4 linked regions of the Mytilus edulis genome follow. The protein of the gene in region 1 purifies or fractionates together with the protein of each later gene. This does not show direct contact. Links are inferred from orthologs where the notes say so. Each region holds a gene or a part of one and is shown in the gene's direction. Other genes may lie near its edges. The genes, in order: proteasome subunit beta type-3, proteasome activator complex subunit 3-like, proteasome activator complex subunit 4-like and F-box only protein 7-like.

The links.
Region 2: the proteins of proteasome subunit beta type-3 (region 1) and proteasome activator complex subunit 3-like purify together in Homo sapiens (affinity purification with mass spectrometry; 4 studies listed by BioGRID and IntAct, with this or other methods). This does not show direct contact. The link is inferred for Mytilus edulis from reciprocal best matches to the Homo sapiens genes PSMB3 and PSME3.
Region 3: the proteins of proteasome subunit beta type-3 (region 1) and proteasome activator complex subunit 4-like purify together in Homo sapiens (affinity purification with mass spectrometry; 3 studies listed by BioGRID and IntAct, counting the BioPlex papers as one, with this or other methods). This does not show direct contact. The link is inferred for Mytilus edulis from reciprocal best matches to the Homo sapiens genes PSMB3 and PSME4.
Region 4: the proteins of proteasome subunit beta type-3 (region 1) and F-box only protein 7-like purify together in Homo sapiens (affinity purification with mass spectrometry; 4 studies listed by BioGRID and IntAct, counting the BioPlex papers as one, with this or other methods). This does not show direct contact. The link is inferred for Mytilus edulis from reciprocal best matches to the Homo sapiens genes PSMB3 and FBXO7.

What each region holds. Positions count from the first base shown.
Region 1 is NC_092345.1:69,632,448-69,639,530, forward strand, and holds the start of proteasome subunit beta type-3, read left to right. Parts: upstream 1-4,072; 5' UTR 4,073-4,163; coding exon 4,164-4,166; intron 4,167-5,712; coding exon 5,713-5,897; intron 5,898-7,083. UniProt on the Homo sapiens protein: Non-catalytic component of the 20S core proteasome complex involved in the proteolytic degradation of most intracellular proteins. This complex plays numerous essential roles within the cell by associating with different regulatory particles.
Region 2 is NC_092345.1:106,000,998-106,007,832, forward strand, and holds the start of proteasome activator complex subunit 3-like, read left to right. Parts: upstream 1-3,806; 5' UTR 3,807-3,900; coding exon 3,901-3,954; intron 3,955-6,835. Other genes in the region: natural resistance-associated macrophage protein 2-like, read right to left, coding at 2,304-2,483. UniProt on the Homo sapiens protein: Subunit of the 11S REG-gamma (also called PA28-gamma) proteasome regulator, a doughnut-shaped homoheptamer which associates with the proteasome. 11S REG-gamma activates the trypsin-like catalytic subunit of the proteasome but inhibits the chymotrypsin-like and postglutamyl-preferring (PGPH) subunits.
Region 3 is NC_092346.1:24,122,497-24,130,111, forward strand, and holds the start of proteasome activator complex subunit 4-like, read left to right. Parts: upstream 1-4,591; 5' UTR 4,592-4,821; coding exon 4,822-5,015; intron 5,016-7,615. Other genes in the region: acylphosphatase-2-like, read right to left, coding at 1,717-1,733, 4,510-4,576. UniProt on the Homo sapiens protein: Associated component of the proteasome that specifically recognizes acetylated histones and promotes ATP- and ubiquitin-independent degradation of core histones during spermatogenesis and DNA damage response.
Region 4 is NC_092344.1:4,233,492-4,240,471, reverse strand, and holds the start of F-box only protein 7-like, read left to right. Parts: upstream 1-3,973; 5' UTR 3,974-4,017; coding exon 4,018-4,136; intron 4,137-6,980. Other genes in the region: putative leucine-rich repeat-containing protein DDB_G0290503, read right to left, coding at 344-2,425. UniProt on the Homo sapiens protein: Substrate recognition component of a SCF (SKP1-CUL1-F-box protein) E3 ubiquitin-protein ligase complex which mediates the ubiquitination and subsequent proteasomal degradation of target proteins and plays a role in several biological processes such as cell cycle, cell proliferation, or maintenance of chromosome stability.

The sequences.
Region 1 (7,083 bases):
TTACTTAAATTTTTCCCATCAACATTTTATGAACCTCTTACACTATGCTCAGAACGAATCAACCAAAACTCGCAGACATGGATCGAATTTAGGCAGTTAGTCACTTACCCTACTATAGATTAATGCTCCTAATTATAACTTGGACAATTACATTTTTTTGGTTCCGTTTAGAACTACGCTTGGTATAAGAGCAGTGCCAACAAATTTCATCTGAAGAGCATTTGGTGCGTTTATTCACACATTATATCCCAGCCTGGGTCACAGGCACTTGTCTCAGGATTTTTTTCATATGTACCCTAATATAACACATATTAAGGTATATACTATATAGGAAATTTTTTTTCTGAGACAAGTGCCTGTGGTTTGGGTCTAGTCAACAAAGCCATAGTGACATGTAGTCTAGAACTTTACGTTATTTGTGGAATGAAGTGTGAATGCAGTTTTCTTCTGGTAGTATATGTATCGTTGGGTTGGTGCCTTATAAAGTTTCGAACGTTGACATATACCACAAATCTACATGGGCATTCATTCACCTGTAAGAGTATGTACAATTTTGAATTAAAACATTAAGAATTTATACATTTTTTCATAATTTAAAAAAAAAAACTGCATGTACATGTAAATGTACTCTCAAATCGTATTTTCTTGTTAATTCGACCTGTTGATACTGTTTATAATGCTTTTTTGTCATTTTTTATTTATACGGATCTTGTCTGTACACCAGCTTTGATTATTTGTAATATCTTCACTTATTCTTACAACATTTGTATAAACTTCAAGATTATAAAAAAAACCGGTTTTTTTCTAAAGTGAACATTGATTGGTTAAATATTTCTCAGTCATGTCCTGTTTTTGAATTTGTTTGTTAGCTTTTTGGTCATGAATGTTTGTCTCTAATATTTAATTAACTGTGCATTTGTATTCAGATATCGCAGATCAAATTTATTCGTTCATTGTTTAATCATACGTTTTTTGATTGAGTTAAGTCTGCCAATTGATATTTTATCGTATGTTTTTCTTTGTTGTGATGTTATGCTATTGTTTCAGAAAAAGGGAGAAGGTTTGGATCCATTAAAACGTTTAATCCCGCTGCAAATGTTTGCACCTGTCCTAAGTCAGGAATCTGATGTACAGTAGTTGTCGTTTGTTTATGTAATATATAAGTGTTTCTCGTTTCTCGTTTTGTTTATATAGATTAGACCGTTGGTTTTCCCGTTTGAATGGTTTTACACTAGTAATTTTGGGGCCCTTTATAGCTTGTTGTTCGGTGTGAGCTAAGGCTCCGTGTTGAAGGCCGTACTTTAACCTATAATGGTTTACTTTTTAAATTGTTATTTGTATGGAGAGTTGTCTCATTGGCACTCACACCACATCTTCCTATATCTATGTAGTATTAATTACACAGTCACGCAGTAGTTTTTCTAATATAACAGAGTGGAATTTGATTTTGTGCACTAAAAAATGTGTTAGGATTTATTGATGGGGCCGAATTTTGTGTTGGCTGTTGGTCGGTCGTAGTTCAGGGATGATTATGTCCATTTTGTATGGGTTTTCAAATGACCTTATTTTGTACATAACAGAAGTTAGCTTAATTACGAACAAAAAAATCCATGGACGCAATTTCAATTCCAAATCCAACAAGCAGCCAAGGACTACCAACCTATTATAGAGTACTATAATAAATAGGGCCAATATATTTAATATACCATATAAAATATATATATATGTACGGAATGATTGTAAAGTTTTAAACATTTTCGTCTAGCCAGGGATTTTCTATACTAGGCTAAGTACTTAGTACAGAAAGTCTCTGTTCTAGCAGGTATATAATCTCACTGAACTAATTTCCAAAGTTTATCGGACAATGTTTGACTTTTGTAGTTTGGGTTATCTCTCAAATATAACAAGCAGTAGTTCAATTTTATATGATGTATGGAACGAGTGAAAGGTGTTTATGTCTGTCATACTGGTTTCGTATGAACTTTGCCTCATTTCCAGGCTAAATGGTGAATAATATAATCAAAAGTTTATAATTTGTCAGTATCAGATAGTAAAAGATATAGGTCAACTATATTTGGTGTATTGAATAAGTGTAAGGTGTACATGTCTGTCTGGTACGGTTCATTGACATATGACCTTGACCTCATATTCATGGTTCATTGGTCAATGTTTAGATTTTGTGGTGTGATCTGCTGTTTCAAATGTATCACCCCTTCGTTAATATTTTACAGATTCTATCACGAGTTACTCAACTGTTAGTTGAACTTTATGGAATATCCGTTTCACAAATAATAGCAGATATGTTCCTTATGTTGCACAACTACAAGCCCGTTCCCTTTTCACGAATGTGACCTACCAAATTAGACTTATTACCAGGTTTGTACTAACATGAGCTACACTACGGGTGCCAAATATGGAGCAGGATCTGCTTACCCTTCCAGACAACCTGAGATCACCCTCACTTCTTGATGGGATTCGTGCTGCTTAGTCTTTATTTTTCTATGTTGTGTTTTGTGTATATTATTGTTTGTCTGTATGTCTTTTTAAGCAAAGCGTTTTAATTTTTTTTATGAGTTTGAATGTTCCTTTGGTATCTTTCGCCCCTCTTTTTTAGCCGGCAAATAGGGCCACTACATTTTGTGTACGGAATGTTTGTATGATGATACAAGTATGCTAATCTGATGTACAGTAGTTGTAGTTTGTTAATGTAATTTATACGTGTTTTTTTATATAGATTAGACCGTTGGTTTTCCCGTTTGAATGGTTTTACACTAGTTATTTTGGTGCCCTTTATAGCTTGTTGTTCGGTAAGAGCCAAGGCTCCGTGTTGAAGGCCGAACATTGACCTATAATGGTTTACTTTTATAAATTGTTATTTGGATGGAGAGATGTCTCATTGGCACTCACACCACATCTTCCTATATCTATCTACTGTCTGACATGTTTCATCTGACCGAGACCTCATTTTTATAGAACAAAGATATTAATGTCAAGTTTGGGAGACAGATTTGTAAAAGCAAATTGCTTGTTTCTGAATCCTTAATATTATTTCATTGTATAATATGTTTAATGTTGATTTATCTGAATAAATATTGTTTAAACTAATGTCAAGTTTATGTGATACTTATAGTAAAATCTTTATATTACATGAACCTTATGATAAGTAAAACAGGCGAGATATTTTTGAAGTATGTGCACTGTTGTTATATATGATACCCAATATATACATTCCTTTTTTCCAATGATTCGTCGGGCGTTGATTGGATCCAGTCAATTTTAAAAGGAGTTCCAACGCATGCAAAGTCATATAAAAAGGGCACAGGGTTCCAACGCTTTGTCCCACTACAAAAAGGATGAATAATTAACCATTAATTTAATTGTCAAACAAACAAAAAAAGGGGGTGTCCAACGTTTTTTTAAAAACATTTATAACAAATTCATAACGTAAAATCGAATACCGACATTTCATTCAGTGATTGATGATCGAAACTTTGGAAGCTTACCGTCCGCCGATCGTGAAAACCTGTAAAGTAGACAGGCCGAATGATGGAGAACGTTAATAATGAATGGGATTGTAAAAAGATTTTCTTTTTTTCATATTTCCATACGTTTCCATCTGTAAAGGATAATGATATTATTTTTGACTCATTGTGAGATATTCATAATCCTCTAGTTTTAGCAACGTAGTGCCATTAAAAATTTTGCTCAACCCTACTTTCTTTTCATAATATTATAACATCTATTTTAGAAGTTATTTTGGAAAATCTTGTAAGATCCTTGTTGGTCTGTGTAGAATCTAACATTTTTCAATTCAATTTAAAAAAGGGTTTAAAATTTTTAATAGATTTTTAAAATTTTGATAAAATTTTAAATATCAAAATCCAAATTTTAAGATAATGTTAAATGTTTTCCAAATTTTCACCAAATAATTGAAATTTAAATATTCTTAATATCGTTTTTAAATGTGCAAACTTTAAAAGTAATAAACTTAAGAGAAACACTTCATATGACAGTAAGAGTTATTAAAAATGGGTACGAGATTGAAAAGGTACGAGTCGACATAGATCCAACATTTTTTCTATTACCTCCCCTACCATAATTCTTCAGAGTAAAATTTTTAGAGATTTGTGAATTTGCAGTTTTCACCGGGCAACATTTTCACAATGGTAAAACGATTGTTTTGAATTCCACAAACATCGAATATGATTTTCATTGCATCTTTCGTTTTAGTTTATTCAATCCGTGAACTAACATTCAGAAAATGAAAAGTTTTGCAGCAAGGAAAAAAAAAACCACGTACAATAAAAAAAAAAGGGGGAGGGGTGTTACACTTGCAGACACTTCCAAATAAATCAATACTAATCACAACATTTATTATATGAGTGGAGCTTCTCGAACCTCTTTCCAAACTGAAGTTCATTTTGGCACCATCTGCCATGTCTGCAGGAATGAAAACAAAAATAAATAGCTAAAACCAAAAAGTTGAATATTTTCAGCGACTTAAAATGCATTTAAAATTTAATTATCTAGTTCCTGTCATGCATTACAACTTTTTGTTAAGGTACACAGGTTTGTGTGTGTATATATAGTAACCAAAAGGTTATTTCTCAACAGTAAGATTATTTGATAATATTTAAAAGAGGGATGAAAGATACCAGAGGGATAGTCACTCATAGATTGAAAATAAACTGACAACGCCATGACTTAAAATAAAAAGACAAACAGAAAAATAATAGCACAGAAGACATAACACAGAAAACTAAAGACTAAGCAACAAGAACCCCATCAAAAACTGGGGGTGATCTCAGGTGTTCCAGAAGGGTAATTAATATATATATAAGCAGATCCTGCCCCACGTGTGGCACCAGTCATGTTATTAGGGCTTCTTTAGTTTAGTAGGGCTTCTTTTGCCAAGCTGTCTTAGTGTCTAGGTACCTTAGTTAAGTGTAGAGGGTCATCTAGAGACAAGTAGCACAAATTTAAAATATGTTCAGATTGGGTTATACAATGTATATACATGTTCAATGTATATATGACCATGTATATACATGTACGGTTGTAGGTGAAGCACAGAGTTCCAAACTCCTAATTAGCAGAGAAATTAGTTTCTTTTATTAAATGCCTTGCCCTGTATGCAACTTTAATATTAATTGATTATTTTACAGTCTTCACCAAAAACTTTTTCAACTAAATATATAGCTACTACATTATTTACTAGTCCGAAGACCAATATTCTGACATTTTTCTTATTGGGCCAAACAAAGTTTTGCGAAAACTTACTACTCCTAATGAAATTTTACTAGTCTGGGGCATCTGACTAGTGGCTAAACATGCAGACTGATTTGAGCAAAAAATTATTTAGTTACGCAAAATTTATCAAAATGAATAAAAATGCAATCATTTGTTTTGGCAAAAAGTTGAAAGAACTTTCTGCATAACCTTGTGCAACAGGGGTTCATCATATAAAAAAAGAACAAAGAATTATTAAAATATATATTAATATTAAATAAAGTGCATACCAATAATATATTGTATATTTCTCGCAAGTATTTATTTTTTGAAGAATAAGAACACGATATAGATATATAAAAGTGATACCTGTATGCCATTTTTTGTTTCAGAAATTTAAAAAAAATTTGTTGTGTAAACACAACAAGTTTTGCATGAATGTAGTTTGCTTATACATGTATTTCTTTTACTTTTTCTTTTTAGAGTATTATGGAATATAATGGTGCGGCTATTGTAGCCATGAAAGGTAGAGATTGTGTAGCTATTGCTGCTGACAGAAGATTTGGTGTACAAGCACAGACAGTGTCAACTAATTTCCAGAAGATATTTGAAATGGGTGACAGACTGTACATAGGCTTACCTGGTCTGGCCACAGATGTACAAACAGTGTAAGTTAGGGAAGTTGTAGTATGAACACAATGTACATTAAGTTAGGAGAGTGGATGAACAACACTGTGTTTGTTTAGCATGTTTATAAAAATGAGATGAGACGAGTATTCTTTTATATTAAAGAAGAGATTGTATAAACAATATATGTGTAGGTGATCACAGGATAGAACAAAGTCTATGAGAGCTACTTTTGCAGCCTGTTTTTAGTGCTATACATCGTAACATGTAACTGTAAAGAAATTTTTTTTTGTTTAAAACATCATTAAAGAGATGTAGATAATTTTTTAAGGGAAAAGACATTGGGTTCTAGATATAAGAAGATGTGGTATGAGTGCCAATGAGACAACTCTCCATCCAAGTTTGCATATTTATAGACAATATTTTGTGAGTCCTATCATCTGTTTGCCAGACCTAATTTGAAAAAAAAAAATTATAGATGGGTCACAATGAACGTTCAGAGTGAGATTAGGGTATGCCTTAAAGCCTGGCACAGACAATGACTAACTATTTATAGAACAACCATATTCTGGCTTTTCGGAATCCTCTGGTTTTATCTATTTGAATGCCTTAAAAAAAATTGCCCATTGACCCCCATTTTTGGGATACGATTGCTTTCAAGCAATCTGTAGACTTATAACGGTGGCTCAGAGCAATTTCCCTCACGTCAACCGTTTTATTCTAAACATTAAGGAACATCTCAGATTCTTATGATTGTCTTGCTTTAAAAGGTTAAAACAAACAAAAGGATTGAACTGAATCAACTTTCCTATAATGTTCTTTTCATAATCTTCATGTTTGATAATTCCCTTGACTTCGATGCATGTTTTTAACAACACGGAAAATCAGAATTAAGCAGTATTTATATTTAGTGTAGTTATAAATTTAGAAACACGTCAGAGGGAATTCCCAGTTTTGATAAAATGCGAGAGTTCTCTGAATACCGATAAATCTATTTCTGTCATATAAGAACTGAAGTGGAGTTTTTCTTATATGTTACCGTTATGAAACTGATATTTGAGATTGTACTTCCATAAAGAAATTGAGAACCATCTAGGTCGTTTAATAAGCATTTAATATATCTTGCCCCAGGGTTTGATTTGGAAATTATGCGCATGCGTATAGTTTTTTTCTTGACTTTAAGGGGTTTTAGATTGAATGGTTGCTCTGGATTCCCCACTCAATTAA
Region 2 (6,835 bases), about 36 Mb from region 1:
TGAGGATGATCCAACAAGATAAATAAAGTAAAAGCAGGATAAAAAACATCCTTAATTTGATATAAGTGTGTACATGTCTTATATCCTACTTAATTAACATTGATTTCAATTATTTTATTACATATATTTTTTAAAATATGTTATCATTATACTTGAATTTCAGGACATAACACTTTTTTTATTAATGTATGCTGATGATATGATTTTGATGTCAGAATCAATCCAAGGCTTACAAAATATGTTAAATACTTTATCTGGTTATACTGAGAAATGGGGTCTTTCAGTTAACACCAAAAAAACAAAGATAGTAGTTTTTCGTAAAGGTGGGAAAATTAGTCTTACTGAGATATGGATTTATAATGGTAAACCATTAGATATTGTAGATCATTTTTGTTATCTGGGTGTGTTATTTCATTATAATTGTAAATTTTATATTACTCAAAACCACTGTGCTGAACAAGGCAGGAAAGCTGAGTTTAGTATGAGGAAAAAGGCATTATCCTTATACCTGAACACTGTTACTTCTATAAGTTCATTTGACACTTATATATGTATGTAGTATTTTAATGTATGGTTGTGAAGTTTGGGGTGTTCATAGAGCACCAAATGTAGAAAAAGTTCATTTGGACTATTGTAAAACATTACTAGGTGTCAAGAGGTCCACTTCTAATGTAATGGTATATTATGAATTAGGAAGATTTCCATTGTTATATGAGCGAAATTTTAGGATGCTCAAATTATGGACTAAAATTCACGGTAGTGAAAATTGTATTATAAAGTCTTGTTACAAAGAACTAGTAGCAAATAGCAATAAATGTAAAAACTGGGCAACTTGTATTTAAACAATTTTATATGATCTTGGTATGAATTATTATTGGGACAACCAATGGGTACTTTGCTTGGATAGTTCATTTTTACAATTAACAAACAACGAATATATGATCAAGCTAAACAAGAGTTGCATTTCACGCTTGAAACATCACCAAAGTGTAGATTATATAAGTATATTGTGTCAAATGTAGAATTATAATTTTATTTACAAAAATGTATTCCTGTAATAGCTCGTAAATGGATAACGAGAATTCGCCTATCCTCACATAATCTATGCATTGAAACTGGTCGTTTTTATGGAATAAGTAGAAATAGTAGAATGTGTATTATGTGTGATAAAAATGTAGTAGAGGATGAATTTCATTTTATTTTACAATGTACAAATTATAATGATATACGTAAAAAGTTTATCAAGAAATATTATTGGACTAGACCATCAACTTATAAATTAATACAATTGTTTTCTGTTGAAAACACTAAGGAACTCTGTAATTTAGGAAAGTACTTACTCTATGCATTTAAGTGCAGGAATAATATTTAAGACCTATGTTTATTATATGTAGTCTGAAACTCACAAACTGTATAATATGTAACTGATATTTCTGACGTTTGTTATTTATGTGTATGTTAATGCTATACAACTTGTAAACTGTATATTTATGCATATTATACCGATAAACTGTATTGTTTAAGGTAAATAAAGAATAGAATCCTGAATATGCATCAGACACAAAGAAATTAAAATCAATCAAATGTTTTCAAAGAACAAATAACACAATTGCTGTAGTTTGAAAACAAAATAAAGAAATCAATCTTAAAAATTTGAGCATATAGACTTTTGAAATCAATGGTAAAACTCTTCAAATCAGTTTACTTTATACATAGAACTTCTATTGGAAAATATTCAATAAGTCTGGACAAATTTTGTGGTGGAACATTTATTCAGATAAGTGTTTTCTGCACACTTGCCTGAAGAACATCAGGTATTGGGATTTTCCCTTTACCTGAAGAACATCAGGTATTTGGAATATCTGTTACCTGAGGAACATCAGGTATTGGGATTTCCCCTTTACCTGAGGAACATCAGGTATTTGGATTATCTCTCACCCAAGGAACATCTGGTATTGGGATTTTCTCTTACCTGAGGAACATCAGGTATTGGAATGTTCTCTTACCTGAGGAACTGAGGAACATCAGGCATTATAATTTTCTCTTACCTGAGGAACATCAGGTATTGGGATTTTCTATTACCTGAGGAACATCAGGTATTGGAATTTTCTGCACTCTTACCTGAGGAACATAAGGTATTGGATTTTTCTCTTACCTGAGGAGAACATCAGGTATTTGGATTTGCTGTACACTTACCTGGGGAACATCAGTTATTAGAATTTTCTCTTACCTGAGGAACATCAGGTATTGGGATTTACTGTACACTTACCTGGGGAACATCAGTTATTAGAATTTTCTCTTACCTGAGGAACATCAGGTATTTGGATTTTCTGGTCAAAGTATGTTGATGCCACAGAACTAAAGTGTTGTTTCTCCTCTTCTCCTTCCTGTTGAACATCTCCATTAGCAGAATCATTCTTCTCCATTACATCTCCATTCCCAGGATCAGTCTTCTCAATCACTTCTGATGAATCTGCCATCATCTATTACATCAGATCTAAATTAGAAGAAAAAAATGTCATTCCCTACTGTGTTCAGTGATTAAAGTTAAAATTTAGGCATAGTAGCAAACAGCTTAAGTTTTGTAGCCAATATATATAGTTCTATACAAAAAAAAGTTGAAATTGAAGTAGCCCACACTGAATTTTAGGGGCCATTGGCGAGTGGGCCCTGCTAATTTTAAACCCTTGACTATTACATCTGCATCCAAGATAACTTTAAAACTAGATATATGGATGATGCCCCATTCTGCTCTGCCTTCTGCACCCAGTATTGTTCCTCAAACTTTATATTTGACAAACAGTGCATTTAAAGTATGCCTGCAACCTCTTATTTTAGAGGTTTTCATAAACATCCAAGCAATGTGTTCTCACTGGAGCTGAAAAGCTAACACATAAACAAGTTTATCTTTCATACATGTGGTCATTATAACAATAAAAAGTATTAAATTAAAAATGGATAACAATTGCAAAAAAAGGCTTCAATAAAAATAAAATTTAATTACCTTTTTAAAGAGTAATTAATTAAAACTTAGAAATGTAATTTACTACAATTAATTTCGAACTGTGATAAAATACAAGTACTTTAGAAATGTATTTAATTATGAAATTAAACGAATACTTTTGCAACTTAATCATTTACAATTACAATGGCTTTTGAAAGTCAATTAGTTACAATTACAATTTTAATTAATTACAATTACTTTTGCAACTCAATTAATTACAGTTTTGAATACGAATTATTTTTGCAATGTAAATAATTACTTTAGAAATAAAGTCGATAATTAATTACAATTTCAATTAATTCAGAAATTATTTTCTGTATACAAAACTGATTATTATTATTAATGTCAACCTGTCAGAATGTAGTGTGTAGTGATGTCCGGTAATAGGTGAACATTGCATAAAACAAAATCATATGAAAGTCAAAATAATGAAATTAAAAATTCACATGTAGGGGCCTATCTAAAACTATTAATACATCAATGACAAATACACTCCGTTTAAACCTGATGAACTAGCGTGAAGTGTTAAGTACTAATGTCCTTATGACCAAAAATTTTTACTATACAAATCCTTGTTATGACTGACAGTCATGATACGACACTCAAAATAAAAATAAAAATACATGATAATTTGTAATTTGTCTTTTGATACCATTAAAACATAACAATACCTGAATAGCTGAATTTAAATCACTATATTACATGTTGTCGAGATTTTTACTAGGTAGCAGCGCCAGTTGAATGCAGGATCTACCTTTGTACATGCAGACGGGCACCTGATCGGGTGATATAATAATTACCTCCCCTTAATTAACTCTTTCAAGAGAAGGCCGAAAAAGTCCTTAACTCATCTGAGACCGCATTGGGCGCTCAGAAAACATATTTCTCAGAACAAAATGCCAACTGATGGTAAAAAATCTGCAAAACAAAGGGAAGAATTGGACAAAAAGGTTGTATTAATTTGTGAACTTTCAATATTTTATAACATTTTGTCAAATTAGTCGACAGTTTGATCAAATTATTAAAATTTCTGTCTACAAACTGAACAGCTGAAGCTTATAAATTTTCATCATTTTTAGAGAAAGATGAGTTTTGCTACTAAGTGACCCTTACCACTGCTACAACACTGAAAATTCCCAAGATCCCACTCAATTTGACTATGTTTTTATTTTTCAGAACATCAAATTCAGTGATCTGGAAGGATTCTTCTCTATGTCTATGCATATGCCCTGGCTAGCCCCCCCCCAAAAAAAAAAAATCAATGGGCCAATTTTAGAATTATCAGACCATGTTGTTGAATAAGTACACCATAGGTTTATAGCAAAAAACTTGAAAATGTATATTATAGCAAAGTCTAAAGAGGTACTTGCCCCTAACTTGGTATGAGTTTATATAGGATCTGCTTACCCTTCCAAAGCACCTGAGATCACCCCCAGTTTTTGTTAAGTTCGTGTTGCTTAGTCTTTAGTTTTCTATGTTGTGTTTTGTGTACTATTATTTGTCTGTTTTTTTAGCCATGGCGTTGTCAGTTTATTTTCTATCTACGAGTTTGACTCTCTGGTACAAATGTATCTTTCGCCCCTCTTTTAAGAATGACAATCATGAAATTTAAAATCACTCAGAAATTATAAATTTTAGTTGCCTACAGAAGAAGTTATTAGATAATTCATAAAAAAAGGTTAAATATTGTAAATAACATTTTGTTCTTTTAATATGGCAAGAGTCATAAAATTCATTATTATTTTATGGTTTTGACTAAAATCTTTACATTTAGACATATTTTGCATGACTGTTGGACCAAATACCGACTGTAAACATACCTTTTTATATGTAGCCTTATAGGACACACAAAACTACCAGCCAACATTGTAACTTAGACTGGACCTGTCTGTCCCTTTTCTGGATAACCAAATTGCGTACATGACATGAAAGCAGGTCAATATCAACTCTAGCTTGTGTGAATTTATGTAGGGTTTCCCCTGGGTCAATTATTTTTTTCGCCACCTCTTTTGCCAAAACAATATATTTTTTGCCACTTTATTATCTTTTTTCGCCAAGTAAGACAAATATATTTTTTTTCCAGCCCCCCTAAATAAGAGTTTGACCCATTGCTGTCTATGATTATTCTCTCAAACTTGTTTTAGAGTCTACATTGTAATGAATAAATACTAAACATTTACCTTTTAAAAAAAAGAACTTTATAAGGAAAATGATTATATTTTGAACAACTTTAAAAGAAGGGGGCCCACTTACTTTAAAAAATAAAGAAGATATATGACCTGCAATATAAAAAGTTCTTGGATACCTGAAAGATGTACAGTTTTTTGGGAAAGTTTCTTCAAAATTGAAAACATTTTCTCTTTTGTACCAAGAAGTGTTTTTTACAATTTTGTCACTTGAAATTGATTCTTCATGTAAGGTGTAGTCATTAAATTGAAGGGTTACTCTCATTCGAGGGGTTGTTCTCAAACTTTTGAATAGATTTCTTCATAACGACTGTTTTCTTTTCTAGACCATCATAAAAATGTAAAACTATGCTTGAAACATGTGTCACTGATACGACTTTAAAGTACCCACTCAAATCAATTATCGATATCAAAGTTAAATGATTAAGTTTAAATCAGAGACCTTTATTGCTTTTGTACATTTTTCGTCATAACATTTTTTTTTCTTTTCTGGACTATCATTAAAAGAAGGGTAGTATCATCAAAATTTTGCTTCAAACACGTGCATCGCAAAGTGGCAAATAATCCTTTATGTAACATGTGACAGGCGCCATTTCACCATACCATTTTATCATATAATTCAATCAACACCTTTATTAATTAGTCCAGTGTTCTCCCCAGGCCGTTTTAGCGTCGCGGTACCGCGACGCTATATTTTTTCACCGTGATGGTATAATAATTCCCGCGACGCTATAATTATTTTAAAGATGCTATTTTACTTGTCCTCAATTTTGAACTTTCATCTATTATCGATTATGATCATAAAAATTATATCACCTTTAATTGTAATCCCTTTAAGTCGGACACTAAAGGCAATTAAGAGATTGAATAGCCAGGTGTTAATTGCCCTCAGGGTGATAACTGTTTGGATGCGAATATCCCAAGCTGACACTTGTGACATGACTAAATTAATACCACGTGTCAATCACCAATTTCGACATGGAAAAATGCAGTCACAAAAACAATTCGAAATCTATGTTTTGTATTACGAAATTTCAAAGATTAAAACGATTTTTTATTTTTTAAAAGGTCGTTTATTTGTGCAACTCTCCAAAAAATACTTTCTTTCTCTTCCGGTAATACGAGAGCGAGAATTTTGGTTTTGAGCTAAAATAAGTTTTATACTTCTTTAAAAAGTGGTCATAATTGGCTTAAGTTTATGTTTAATTCATTTAATGCATTAAAAGCGTCTTATTCATTCACAATCTCTTGTCAAACAATGTTTATTCTCGGACTCATTTTCGTAAATTTTTCTACGGCCGCCATTGCACATTTTTGTGTAAATTACGGATCGGAACCGGACCAGATATGTCAAAAATCCGCATTTTCACGATAATGACAACAGACGGACGGTAGACAGAAAAAATATACCAATAGAGAAAACTACGCATTAATAGACTATTTGTTAGATAACTTTGTTAAAAATACGTATCATTTTGATGTAAAGATAAGAAATAACAGGGACTAATTCATTCAGTGCCATGAAACAATGAATTTCATAAACATGATAAAAAAAAAAGTATTTAAATTGATATTTTTTTGCTACTTTTGCTACTAGTACTTTATCTTTACTTAATATAATATAAAAAAAATAGTTAATTTTGTG
Region 3 (7,615 bases), on another chromosome or scaffold:
TGCATTCTTTTACTCAGGAATACTAATCATTGTGTCTTACAAGACATTTAAAGGTCCCAGTGAATTAACTAGACTGATAACAATAGCCCTTTGGCCAGGTGAGCTAAAAATGGAATATTGTATCAAATTTAACCAACAACTTTGATTTATAGATTATTTGAAAATAATTATTAAATTAATTAATAATTTTGATATTATAATTATACACATTCTACAAAACAAAACATAAGTTAAAAAAATATAACTATGTTTTGTATCAGAATTGAACAAACTAACAGTTAAAATTAAATATTATAATCGGTAAAATCATTATATACATTGAGCAATGTTGAGGAGCTGAATTCAAAGTGTCATAGTTTCATATTTAAAATCTATATTAAGGCAAATCTTGTGGATCTTTCATATAAATACTGAGTACTTCAACTATTTTATTTTATTACTTCAAATATCATACGTGTGAATAAGCATGATATGAGCAGGAGTAGAAATTCAAATATTACCAATACAAAACTACAGGGTCCAGTTTCATCCTAAATATAAAAAAGAAAATTTGGTATTTTTCCCAATGAGACAATTCTCCACACTAGAGAGCGGAAATAAAATCACTAATAAAATATATGTTATTTATATTAAAACGCATCAAATAATAATTTAAAAATAATAAACATGATAGAAATTTGTGTTAAAATCATTGTGTTATCACAAGTTGTGGTGGATCTGTTAACAAAGAAAATTTACTGATCCAACAAAAAAAATGGAAAATGGTGTTAGCAAAAAATTCATACCTCAATTGTGTTTTGGTGATGGTGATGTGTTTGCAGATCTTACTTTACTCAACATTTCTTGCTGTTTACAATTATCTCTATCAATAATGAACTTGGCCCAGTAGTTTCAGTGGAAAATGTTAGTGAAAATTTACAAATTTTATAAAAATTGTTAACAATTGACTATAAAGGTTATATTGACTTATTTTTAGGTCTTACTTTGCTGTACATTATTGCTGTTTACAGTTTATCTCAATCTATAATAATATTCAAGATAATAACAAAGAACAGCAAAATTTCCTAAAAATTACCAATTCAGGAGCAGCAACCTATCAACCGATAATCCAATTCATCTGAAAATTCCAGGGCAGATAAATTTTGACCTGATAAACAATTTCACCTCCTGACAGATTTGCTCTAAATGCTTTGGTTTTTGAGTTATAAGCCAAAAACTGCATTTTACCCCTATGTTATATTTTTAGCCATGGTGGCCATCTTGGTTGATTGGCCAAGTCACTGGACATATTTTTTAAACTAGATACCACAATAATGATTGTGGCCAAGTTTGGTTTAATTTGGCCCAGTAGTTTCAGAGGAGAAGATTTTTCTAAAAGATTACTAAGATTTACGAAAAATGGTTAAAAATGGACTATAAAGGGCAATAACTCCTAAAGGGGTCAACTGACCATTTTGGTCATGTTGACTTATTTGTAAATCTTACTTTGCTGAACATTTTTGCTGTTACAGTTTATCTCTATCTATAATAATATTCAGATCATCACCAAAAGCATCAAAATTCTTACAATTACCAATTCAGTGGCAGCAAACTAACAACGGGTTGTCTGATTCATTTGAAAATTTCAGGGCAGATAGATCTTAACCTGATAAACAATAAAACATTACTATGCTTCTACTTAATATTTTCTGCTTAACATACAACATCTTAACTTACCTGTCGAAAAAATACACCTGAAATTATAAAAGAAACATTTGTAATTACATTCAAATCAAAGATATACAGGAAAAATTTAAAGGTGTGTGCTTGCAAATGTAACAACCATCCATTAGAGACAAAATGACAAAAATGTAAACTATATAGCTCAAATTTCCTTAAACAATTACAAAAATTCATTCAAACAAAATGCAACAATATACCTGTCAATTTTTCTTCATAATAAAAAAAAATGTAAATTGCCAAATATTAATTAGAACTTGCAAATTGGTAATTAAATTCTTAACTACTGGGAATCAATAGATCACAGGAAAATGTGTGAGTAACACTTAACAGTCTTCAAGATAAACTTTTGAATCCATAAGCCCAAAGCCAATATTACGAAAATTTTAGTTGGCTTCTTTTGGCCACAGGTGCTTGAGGACAGGATCCTGTATGAGCCACATATAGTCCCTCCCCCCTTTTTTTTTAATCATAAATCTCAGATTTTTCTATCTATATCACTTATTTGTACTTATTTGTACCATATATACTAATATACCATATTTATACTCTTAATATGCATGTTTACTATCAACGTGAATCTCGCTCTATAGTCGAGATTCACGTTGATAGTAAACATGCATATTTAGAGTATAAATATGGTATATTAGTATTTATCATATACTTAGCATTAATATGATAGCTTTTGCATATGTGTAACGAACGGAAGTACACAAGCCATAATTTCCCACCCAGGCTGATAACCCATATCAGCCCGGTCTGATAACCCATATCAGGGGCGTCTCGTGCAAAAACCCATAACAGTGCTTCTCGTGCAAGTTACTTCCGGTGTTTCCGGTATCGGTTGTTTATTTTTTCCATTGTGACGTCAGATATTGATGACGACGTCAAAATTTACGGGAACAGTTTTGTGGGGATAGTTTAGTACTTACTAACAAATACCATTGGCAATTATGAATCATTTTATAGTACAACAAACATGGAGTAATAATGATCATGAAACTCTTCCAACTACTCAATGTTTCAAAATGCCTCTATAGGAAATGTTACCATAAAATGTACATATATGTATATGGAGGTAGTGATGCTGTTGGTTGCATTGACAGTTGTAGTATATTGGATTTATAACTTAACTTCTTTATAAAGTTTTTGACTGTTTTAGTTGTTGCATTTGTGTTTTTTTTTTGCCTTACATAAAACTATTGTCGGAAGTATATGATAAAGCGATTAATACATGGCCTTTTCCATATCAGCCTGGGTATCATCCCTCGACCCATATCAGCGCCTCGACTCCGTCTCGGGCTGATATGGGGGTCTCTGGATGATACCCAGGCTGATATGGAAAAGGCCATGTATTAATCTCTATATATATGGTACAAATAAGTACAAATAAGGGATATGTATAGAAAAATCTGAGATTTATGATTAAAAAAAAAAAATTTAAAAAAGGGGGAGGGACTATTTGGGGCTCATACAGGATCCTGTCCTCAAGCACCTGTGCTTTTGGCTTGTAGAGAAGAATTTTACAAGTCCCCAAGCAATTCTGCAAGCCATGGCTATAGCACTTGTTGTGGTTAAGTGTGAAGACTGCACTACATGTGTGCATATGACCTGTGCACAACTACTTTGGTTGATCTCTTTGCTCTTTACAATTTTGGCCAAATCTTACCCATTTGCTTCATAACTTGACAGAACTGGATTTAGATGTATTAATTTCTCACATAAATTAAAATATATTATATACATGATCATATTACATGAACTATAAACCATGGTCTTATTTACAGTCTTATTGTATTGTAAATCAATGTGTATTTAAATTCTATATTATCTATGCTAATCAATGTTCTTTATCCTTATACATGTATTCATATTTTGAGTAGCAAATGATTTTGAATGGTTAATATTTTAAAGATGTTGATTGTATTATCTGGTTCTGTCCTGGCCTTTAAACTATTTTAATAGTGTTAAACAGTGTTGTTTTCTAATATGTCTCTAAATTAATGTCTAATCTTAAGTACTTGTATGGGAGGTCTCATTGGGGGTTTCCGATCCCGGATCCCGCTTACTGTTTTGTCAGATTCCTGTATCCCGCTTACACTATGTACGTAAGCAATTCTCATTTTTTTGTCATTTCCCGGGTCCCGCTAGACCTCATTTCTCGTTTTCCCGACACAATAATTTGACTTTCATGTGTCACACTTACAAAAAATCGGCAATCCCGCGTCAAGCTTAGACCCAATGAGACCCACTGTATGTATTGTAATGTGATAAGGCACTTTATTCTTATTCTCTATATGCCCCTTGTGGTCTTTTAACTGGAAATAAAATATATCTTATTCTTATATTTATTTTTTGAAATCAAACTAAGGGAGCTACCATTTGATTTTTATGGGGGGGCTAGGATGAAATTTGAAAAAAATAGGCTGGACAGGAGTTTCGAGTAAAAAAAAAAGGCAGGATGTGACACTTGCAAAAAAGAATCAGAACGACAATTTAGGTAAAAAAAAGACAGGATAAACTAAAAAAAAAAAAAGAAGTCAGGACCGATTAGAGTGAAAAATAAAAAGGCAGGACAGAGATTACAGCTAAAACAATGCAGGACAAAATTTTTCATCCTAGCCCCCCCTCCCCCCCCCCCATAAAAATCAAATGGTAGTTCCCTAATCTGACTTTTGAACCCTGATTTAGATCTACATGTACTAGTACCAGAAAGACTAGAAAACTTGGCCCCAAAATAATGTATCCCATAAAAATCATTTATCATAATTATCTATAGGCAATTCATACCTTGGACACTTCCGTGTATTTCGTAATCGACCGATGAGAATCTTCCAGAATCTGACATTGCTGTCATGTGATATTTCAGAGAAGGATGACTTGGTTATTTTGAGCTCTATAGTTTGTGTTTGGCAAAGTGAAAATGAAAGTGAAGGGGATTGTCGTTCCTGTTCACAGGTGATCTCTTTCTTAAACAATTTTTGATTGGATCAATCATTAGGGATTATCCAATTGTATTTCGTCTTTCTTAAATAACCCAAAATGGATCCAACTGTAGCAAGTCATCCTGAATAGTATCAAATTTTCAGCTTTTCTCCAAGTATGGACGAAAGAGAAAAGATTTTGGGGTTTCTCCCACAAAAGGAGAAAATTTATAACAAGTATTTACCATATGCAGACAATCTTGATGTTGAATCAAATGCTGTGTTTGCGGAAATCAAGGCCAACCTTGGAAAATCTGTTGCCTTGAGAGATATTAAAACTGGTGCTAACCATTGGAGTGGACAATTAACTAGGTAATATATGACTTGATTATGATCTATTTTTTTTTTCAACAAAGAAATCACAATTAGCATTACCTAACGATTAAATGCAAAAAAAGATCTCATTCGAATTCAGAGCTGTCATTGTCAAATCCTACACCATCTTGCCATAATTAAAATAAATAAGCTTTATTTGGAGTTGGCAAAATAGAGACAACCGAATCTATATATACAGTTTCGTTCCTTTTAGTATATTACATATAATACAAAACTTTTTCAAGTTTTTGCAATCCATTAAATGACCATGTATTTGATCTGATGAAACTTCATTTATGGCACTTTCATTATTGGCACTGGCTACGGTTACATGGAAATGTAACAATAATAAAAATATTATTATTACATTGGGGACTAAATGCCGGAATGCATGGTTGGATAAGGAACCGATTAATTACGAATGTAACAATAATTATTGAGGCTACGGTTACATTGCGTTATTGTTACATGAAAAACAGAAATGTTCGATGGGACTAGTAATATGTACTAAATAATAAAAGTTGAAGACATTATCTTATATTTACAATACATACAAGTATAACATACAATTTTTTTTTATAGTACGTCCTCCATGGATTCTGAAAACTGAGTTTTACTATGCGTAGTGTTGTGCGGGTTTTTTTTCTACATTGGCTAGAGGTATAGGGGAGGGTTGAGATCTCATAAACATGTTTAACCCCGCCGCAATTTTGCGCCTTTCTCAAGTCAGGAGCCTTTGCATGGCCTTTGTTAGTCTTGTATGACGTCCATTTTCACTGAACTAGTATACATATTTGTTTAGGGGCCAGCTGAAGGCCGCCTCCGACGGGTGCAGGAGTTTCTTGCTACATTGAAGACCCATTGGTGACCTTCGGCTGTTGTCTTCTCTATGTTCGGGTTGTTGTCGCTTTGACACATTCCCCATTTCCATTCTCAATTTTATACATGTATACAGAAGTTCACAGTGTTAGTTCACAGTTAGCAAACTTTGCTTTTGATGTATCAGTTTTTGGTAAGTGCGTTTGTATAGCTGTATGAAATTTGTGTCTTGATATTGTTTCAGTTTCGTTTCAAACGCATCCCATGCAAGTTTTAAATTCTTCACCCAAACCAAATTGGGAATCTCTTCATCTTTTGTTCAAAGTATAATGACAGTAATACGAGTAGATGTGCAGTTACATGTAAATACTTAAAAGTGAACAGTTTTCTCAGCCCGAGTTATCAACAACAAACCATTGAACTCATATTTTTCGCCTTTGGCACTACTAATTTGAAGTAGTATATTTATTATTTATTATTATAACAAGTATTATTTAGTAGACATGAATGAATTAAGCAACAAAACTATATAGAAGATTTAAGTTTAATAAATCTAGCGTACATTGCTGTTTTTCATGTAACAATAACGCAATGTAACCGTAGCCTCCATAATTATTGTTACATTCGTAATTAATCGGTTCCTTACCCAACTTTGCATTCCGGCAATTAGTTTCCAATGGAACAATAATATTTTTATTATTGTTACATTTCCATGTAACCGTAGCCAGTGCCTTCATTATTTTTCAAATCAGTATTATGTTGTGCACATTTGTATATAATATCCTTATATTATGAGTTTCCATGCTATTTAGAATGCATTTTGTAGTCGCAATTTCCATTGAAAAAACATGCATAGTATGAATTCATATGTCATACTAAAATATATGATCTGACGATACAGTAGTGTTCCAGCTAGGATTTCAAAGGGCAGGGTGCCAATCCTGAAAAGGGCATTTAACGCGGGGTATGATAATATGAAAAGGGCATGTTTTAATAAAGATATCAATCAAACATTGTGTTTATTTGTTGAAATCACTGGTTATACAAGAACTACATAATTAGCCCATTTAGAACTCTATCTTTCTACTTGCTGAAAAACTTGTCAAGCAGCACAGTGTCACTCAAGTTTTTAAATCATTGTTTAGCACAGTTAAGCTTTATACATGTTATATGCAGCATGTATTGAAAGGTGTCCTGCTTCATTCTGTTTCTATGGTCTGACACACTTTACCAGTTTCACCTTTCTACCTCTACTGTGCTTAATGGTAATACAGCACAAAACAGCTGTGCTCAGTAAATGCACAATGTTAGGATATAGCAACAGTGAAAATTTGTATTAAAAATAAAGAAAACAGAAAAAGATGACCAAGGCACCCTACCAACACTGCTACTAAGACCCTCTTTACCTTTTCCCATAACTCAAAATACCTAAACATATATATTCTTAAGGAAGAAGTATGTAGACATGTTTTAGAATGTGTTAAAGGGAAACTTCGCAAAAAAATCAAAAATTGATATTATGTTCATGCTGTATAAAAATGCTCAAATTCATAGATATTAAAGTTTTATTCCGCTAGATAAGAGATCACCATCGATTTTAAATTTAGAGTATCAATTCTCTGCGTTCGGCCATTTTGTCTTCTTTCCCGATTAATAACAACGATATGTCTATAAACCACAAAGGAACAAAACTACAGTAACCGATGTAGTCGTAATTGCGTGTCGATATCTTGTCAATCGTACGGTTGTTTTATCCGACTAACTAACTTGATACAGAA
Region 4 (6,980 bases), on another chromosome or scaffold:
CAGCAAATTCTATCATTTCCAATATCTAACGGATTAATAAAATTGTCAAGGTCTTTTCTCCATAAAATTCCTGTTCCCCCATAACCACGAGGTAAATTGGTTGGATTTATTGGATCTTTATCATCGACCGCTTTTCCAATTCCACAAATATTTTGATGAAGTTCATTAAGTAAATTCAGTTGAAAATTAAACAGCCAATGTTCTTGAATTAAAAATATATCTGTTGATTTAAAAAGTTCATCAAAAAACATACCGCATGTTTGTATATTTTTACAATTAAAAGTTAAAATATTAAGTTCTTTCTTTTTATCATCCTCTCTACTTTCATGATTTAATTGTTCCATTATGTCGGTTGGACACTGAGGCTTGTTTTCCATAAAAAATTATTTCCATGTAAAGTTTTGGCAATGTTATTACTTTGGAAATATAAATTTTGTCCCAAATAGTTCCTAGGTTGATTACTTTGTGAATCACAATTTGTCCTTACTTGGTTGTCTGACGCTAATACATCAATAAGATTCGAATGAGTAACAGTTTGAGTATTGTCCGGAGACGTATCTTGAAACCATTGATTTTCATAATCACATCTACTTTCTGAATCACTATGACTCTCATTTACAGTTCCATAATTATTTATATAATATGAGTTGTGATGATCATAATAATATGGATATTGATGATAATAATTTTGGTAATCCCAATTATGTTGAGAATATTGATTTTCTGAGTTATCTTTCACATTTTGTTGATAAACATGATTTTGTGTATCCTTTAATTTATCATTGCTTTCAGTAATATTGTCAGATAATTTATCCAATTCATTTTCAATCTTGTCCACAATAAATTTTGTGACTTTATTCCTTACTTGTACCAGTAAATCTTCACTATTATCCCTATGACTATTTAAATTTCCAGATTCTGATTTTTCATTACGCAGGGAAGAGTTATTTTGATTTTCTTCCAATATAATAATTTTCCTATTCATTGTTTTTATGGTTTGTTCTAACTCTAAATTTCGGGCTTCAAGTTGGTGAAGATAATCAAGAAGCTTGGTTTTCTCTTTAAGTTTTTCATTCACTGACAACTCTTTTAATTTCAGACTTTCTTCTTTTTTCTTTAATTTAAGTTCTAATTGACGCAATTCTTTCTGTTTCAACACACTATTTTCATTATCCTTATCTTGATTTTCTTTAGATTTATCAGTAATGTTTTTGTCTACACAGACTAAAGTTGGACGAGGTGAATTAACCTTCTTTACTGAAGTTTCAATATTCAAATGCAAATTTTCAGAATTTTGACTATGTGTCGCTTCACATCCTAGACATATTTTATTTTCTTTTCCCATACATTTTATGTGATAAGATTGATCACAGAATTCACAAATTTGTTCATCAGTATTTAACAACTCTAAACATAAGGCACAAGACCTTGGAAATTCCTCCAATAAAAGAGATTGAGCAAAAGTTACTTTGGGTATTACTTGATCTTTATCTATATGTTTTACTGAAGTATCGGATTCTATTTCATTTCCTTCTAAAAAAGATTCTTCATTAATCATGTTGACCAAAGGTAAGTTGATACTATCACATACTTGAGTATGAGTGGGAGAATTCACAGATAATACTTGCTTATCATCTATGGAGTCTATATCACAAATTGAACATATATAATGGTTTGTATCAGAATTATTCTCTAAAATGTTAATCATTTCACTTTTTAGTTTTTCGCAATTATAGTGTATCCAATGTTCACCCCTATTACACCAGACACTTCTAGATAAGCAATTTCTAGTACATTTAGGGCATACTTTAGGGTCCTTAATGTCATTACTACCAGCGGCAGCATTTGTAACAGCTTTAGATTGACTAATCTTTGTATTATCCACTACAACTGACGGATTATGACCGTTATTAATTGATGATAATAAAAAATCACATTGCTCTTTAATTTTGGTGTTGAGATGTTTATAGTCTAGATCATTACTCATATGCGATGCAATTTTAGAAAGTTCATCTATGAATGACATAAATTGTTTCCCATTCACTTCAATACGACATGTTGTATTAAAAATGTTCACCCTATACAACTGCTTTGACGGATTACTAACGTCGGCAAATGAAATTGACCTCTCTGATAATTTCTTTGATAAATCGAACCTTTCATGTACTGTTAGTTTTAAACTTTGGTTTGAACTAAAATACTGGTCGAAGCATGTATTGAATTGCAAAAATGCAGCCGATGAAAACTGTATGATTAAATTCCCCCTTTTCAAAGTTGCTTGAATATCAATGTCTCTATTTGCAGCTTCCTTAATTTTATTCAAAGTTCTTTTCTCATTTAATACATAATTCTTGGTAGTTTGAATACTCTTGCTGGGTGTATATATTTTAGTTGGAACTAATTCTCTACTTGACCTTCTCGACATTTTGAATTTACTGTTGGTTGTATCTACTCAAAAACAGTGATTTGGAAAAAATGTTTAAATAAAACAATTGTCTTTCTTAAAACTGTACACTATATATTAAAAGTGTTCTATGTTTAAAAGGTAAAAGGACTGTTAATTAAAAACTTCTTTAAAATTTCTTCATAAAACCAAGATGGCGACTATGAGTCGGCTATTTCTTTGTCTCGTGTATCTCATTTTCTTTCGAGAAATGGCAGTAAATGTATTTTCACTTTGCTAAAACATCATTCAGGGTTCTCATTGGCAATACAGGAAATAAAAGTTCACATTAAAACACTATCAAGTCTGTAAAAATCTGTAAAATCTGTAAAACTGGCTCTCAATAAATTACACAACCACCACCTTCAACCACCACACTTCAACCGATTGCCGCCATTTTAAACCATAAACCGAAACCACAAACCACCCTTGGACATGGTTTGAATAGTTTCTGGAACCAGTTTGGGTTTGAGAATAACAAACGGCAAACCAGTTTAGGTTCGAAACTAGTTTCAAACTGGTTCTCATTAACAAATGGAAAGTTTAACAAACTAAAACTGGTTTTGCACTAACAAATACTCCTTAAATCTTGTGGCCTTATGGCACAACTCTTCTCATTGGTACATATTACGCCCTATGTGTATCTTCCTCCATGTTTTTTCCTCCATGTACTTTAATTTTGTTTTTGCTGTTACGATTGAGGTTGGACAACCATTATAACATCACTGCATAATATACTAATCCCCCTTTTAAGAAACTATGCCTACATTTTGAAAGAACCGTAATATTTGTAGTATAATTTCAATATATTTTTTTAGTTGGCAGATTTATTGTATACATATATCATTTGATCATGCCATACAGAGAAATCTTACTGACATTTTGATATAAGATTATATAAGTGTGTATGTGCAAATAAACATTGTCAATTTTCTACAACTTTTTGGAATTTTGGATCCTCAATGCTCTTCAACTTTGTACTTGTTTGGCTTTATAAATATTTGGTATGAGCGACACTGATGAGTCTTATGTAGTAAGATTTCCGTTGCTATTTTTTTCTAAATAGGTGCAATTTGGGTACCCTTACGTTATATATCCAGCGACTTTTTTTCTATTTTTTTTTGTTTATTTATCACTAAAATAAGAATTAAGGAGATCAGGTATGAACACAGACACTAAGTCAAGTAAATAATTTGAGAATGAATACATATACATGTATAATGTAATTTTATTATTCTTTTATTCACAATATATATGTGGGTTTTAGCTTGATTCTGACCAATGCTTATATTCCAAATATATATGTATATGCCTCTATTATTGTTGTTGTTACCAATTATGTAAATCAATTGTATCTGATTTTATGCCTTTTATGGGCCCTGTAATTTGGGAAATAACAGTATTCTATTCTATTCTATTCTATCTTCTATGATGATCAAAATGTAAGTTTGCGACCAAAGGGGGATAATTCAATTAAAAATTGCAACCGTTTGTAACACAAGGGAAGTAATCCCATGCTAAACTTAGCTCTCCAGTTTGAAACAACGAAAGGTTCGAATTCACAACCAACAACAATGATGAAAATTAGAATTCGAAACCGCAAAATCACGAAGTCTATAGACATAGACAATGAGTGTAAACTAAATGATCTACGTCAGTTTATTTTTGGATTGTTTGACAACACTTTTCCAAGGTTAATTATTTATGTCATTCCTTAAATTGTTCCGTTTTGAACACAGATTTCTTACTTAAAGTTAAAGGGTTTTCCTACCTGCCTACTCTTCTTCTTTAAGTTTTCCAGATTTCCATCTGAATAAAGATGATTAATAACTGGTGCATACGTGGCCAAGAAAAGAAAATAATTTTAGCGACAAGAAAGTTAAAATTGATAGAAAAAAATGAAACATTATTTACATAATATTTTATCATCTATCATGTGTCTATTATGTTAGTCCAAATAATTATGACGTCTTGAAAGGCTATTATAAGGCGTCAAAGAAAAAAATTATAATAGCCTTTCAAGACGTCATAATTATTTGGACTACTATTATGTTAGCTGCGGAACCGTAGCTCTTAGGTCCTTATGTTATTTTTTGACTATTTGCGGTCCGCAAATAGTCAAAAATATTTGCGGTCCGCAAATAGTCAAAAAATAACATAAGGACCTAAGAGCTACAGTTCCGCAGCTACTATTATGTTTAACAGCCAGTATTACGTTTAATTATTGTATTATGAGATTACTTTTCCTTGTGTTTTAGAACATATTATTTATCTTATAATTTGTTTTTTAAAACTCTTTTCGTGCAATATATATTAAGCTCGCAAAATGAATTATTTGTGCATCATTGTCCTGAAAATATTGACACAAATTGTGAAATACAAAGAACTGAAATCAAACAAGAGGAAAAGAAAATTGAAATGTGAATGTTTTCATCTTTTTATTTGTTTATTGCCTCATTAAACGTACATTTTACTATATAATGACTAAAAATAATTTAAAAAAAATTAATTATTTGGACCCCAAGGTAGAACCACGTCCTCGTCGTGGGATCTGGAAACATGCTTAAATAATAAAGATGGCAAAGCGTGACTGAGAGTTCTACAAATAAAGCATCGAATTGACATAACAAGAGTACACTTATAGCATAGTATTAAGCAAATGAATCAAAATATATTCCATTATGCCCGCTCCATATATACATACTTGTTTAAGTACCACCCCTGACTGATTATAGTACCTGTTGCAGGCATACCGAGAAGCTCTCTTTTGGACCATCTCTATCTTTGAGATAGATTCTGAAGTGTGGGGGTCCCAAACCGAGCAAGAGTATTTCGAGTTTGGGACAGACAAGTGCTTGGTATGCCTGGCTCTTGATGTTTTGATTAGATGTTTTCAGGTTTGTTCGAAGGAAGCTGAGTGTTTTGTTGGCTTTCGAGATATTGTCATCTATGTGTTTGTCCCATTTAAGGTTTGATTGTAATGTGATGCTTAAGTATTTAGCAGATGTAACAGTTTCTAAAGTATGGTTGTGAAGAGTGTAATTCTGTTGTAGAGGTTGACGTTTAGTTGTGACAGAGAGAACATTACACTTGTCTGGGTGGAAGGCCATCAGCCAGTCTCCTTCCCATTTTGCAGCTGCATCAGGGTCAGCTTGCAGTTTAAGGCAGTCAATCTGGGATTTAACTGGCATATATATGATACTGTCATCAGCAAATAATCTTAGTGTGCTACTGTATGTGTAAGGTAGTCTGGGAGGTCGTTAATATAAGCCAAGAATAAGACTGGACCTAAGTCAGTACCTTGCGGAACCCCAGAGGTGACTGGTACTGTGCTTGATGATCTTCCATCCAGAACAACTGTTTGAGTTCGATCGGAGAGAAATGCAGAGATCCAGTTTAAAGTGTTTCCATTAATGCCAAAATAGTGTAATTTGTAAGTGACGATGCAGAACTTTATCAAAGGCCTTCGCAAAGTCCATTATTACAAGGTTTGTTTGTGTATTTGAATTTGAATTTTTTTTGGATTGAAGTTCTTGTATGAAGGAGAGAAGTTGGGTCTCGCAAGATCGAGAGCGCCGAAAACCATGTTGGACATGTTGGAGGTCGTACAAGATGTTATTTGCTTCGAGATGTTTCATAATATGTGATGTTACTATGTGTTCCATTAACTTGCAGCAAATACAAGTTAATGAGATAGGTCTATAATTGACTGGTTTATGCTTATCCCCCTTTTTATATGCTGGTGCGACTCTAGTGTGTTTCCAGTCATTAAGTTTAATATCAGTGTTGTATTACATTTAACGACTGCTATACTGTCATGATTATTTGTGTTATAACTTATATATATATTAAACTGGTGCACTAAGACTATGTATATTGTTAAAAGTAATTTTTGTCCTGTAACCTGAGTCAAGTCTGAGACTGAGAGAATGATTCTTATTAAAAAATCACATTGTCTCCTTCGGAACTCAAACCCAAGATCTCTAGATTTCTTGATATTGATACAGTCATGACAGTACTTAAACTTTGACACATGGTGATTAGTCCACATGTCCCCCTCGCTCCATTATATTGTCTGAATAGTGTTTCAAGTCAGTGCTCTAACCAACCATGCTAAAGAGGTTTAGAACTGGCCAAGGATCCACTAGCTATGCAAGCAAAGCAATTCCATCACAATATTGTGTGGTAGTGTTGTTAACATTTAATTTACAGGTTCTGTATACATGGTATATATGATAATCTAAAGTTTGATATTGATAAAAAGATAAAAGATATATACATATTGTAACGGTCCAGCGCCGTGGGAAAAATCATTGACTATTATTCAGACGTTTTATATATATATATATATGTATAGATAGGTTTCAATATGACATAATTATCGCTATTTAGACCAATTTACAAATGCAGTCACTGAGACTACTAATCATTGGGTAATAATGTGTTGCAGAAACAGAGATCATCAGCAATGAGATTGTTTGCACCTGCAAAGTGGAAAGGGATTAATATAAATTGAAAAACTTGTTTCTAAATCCAC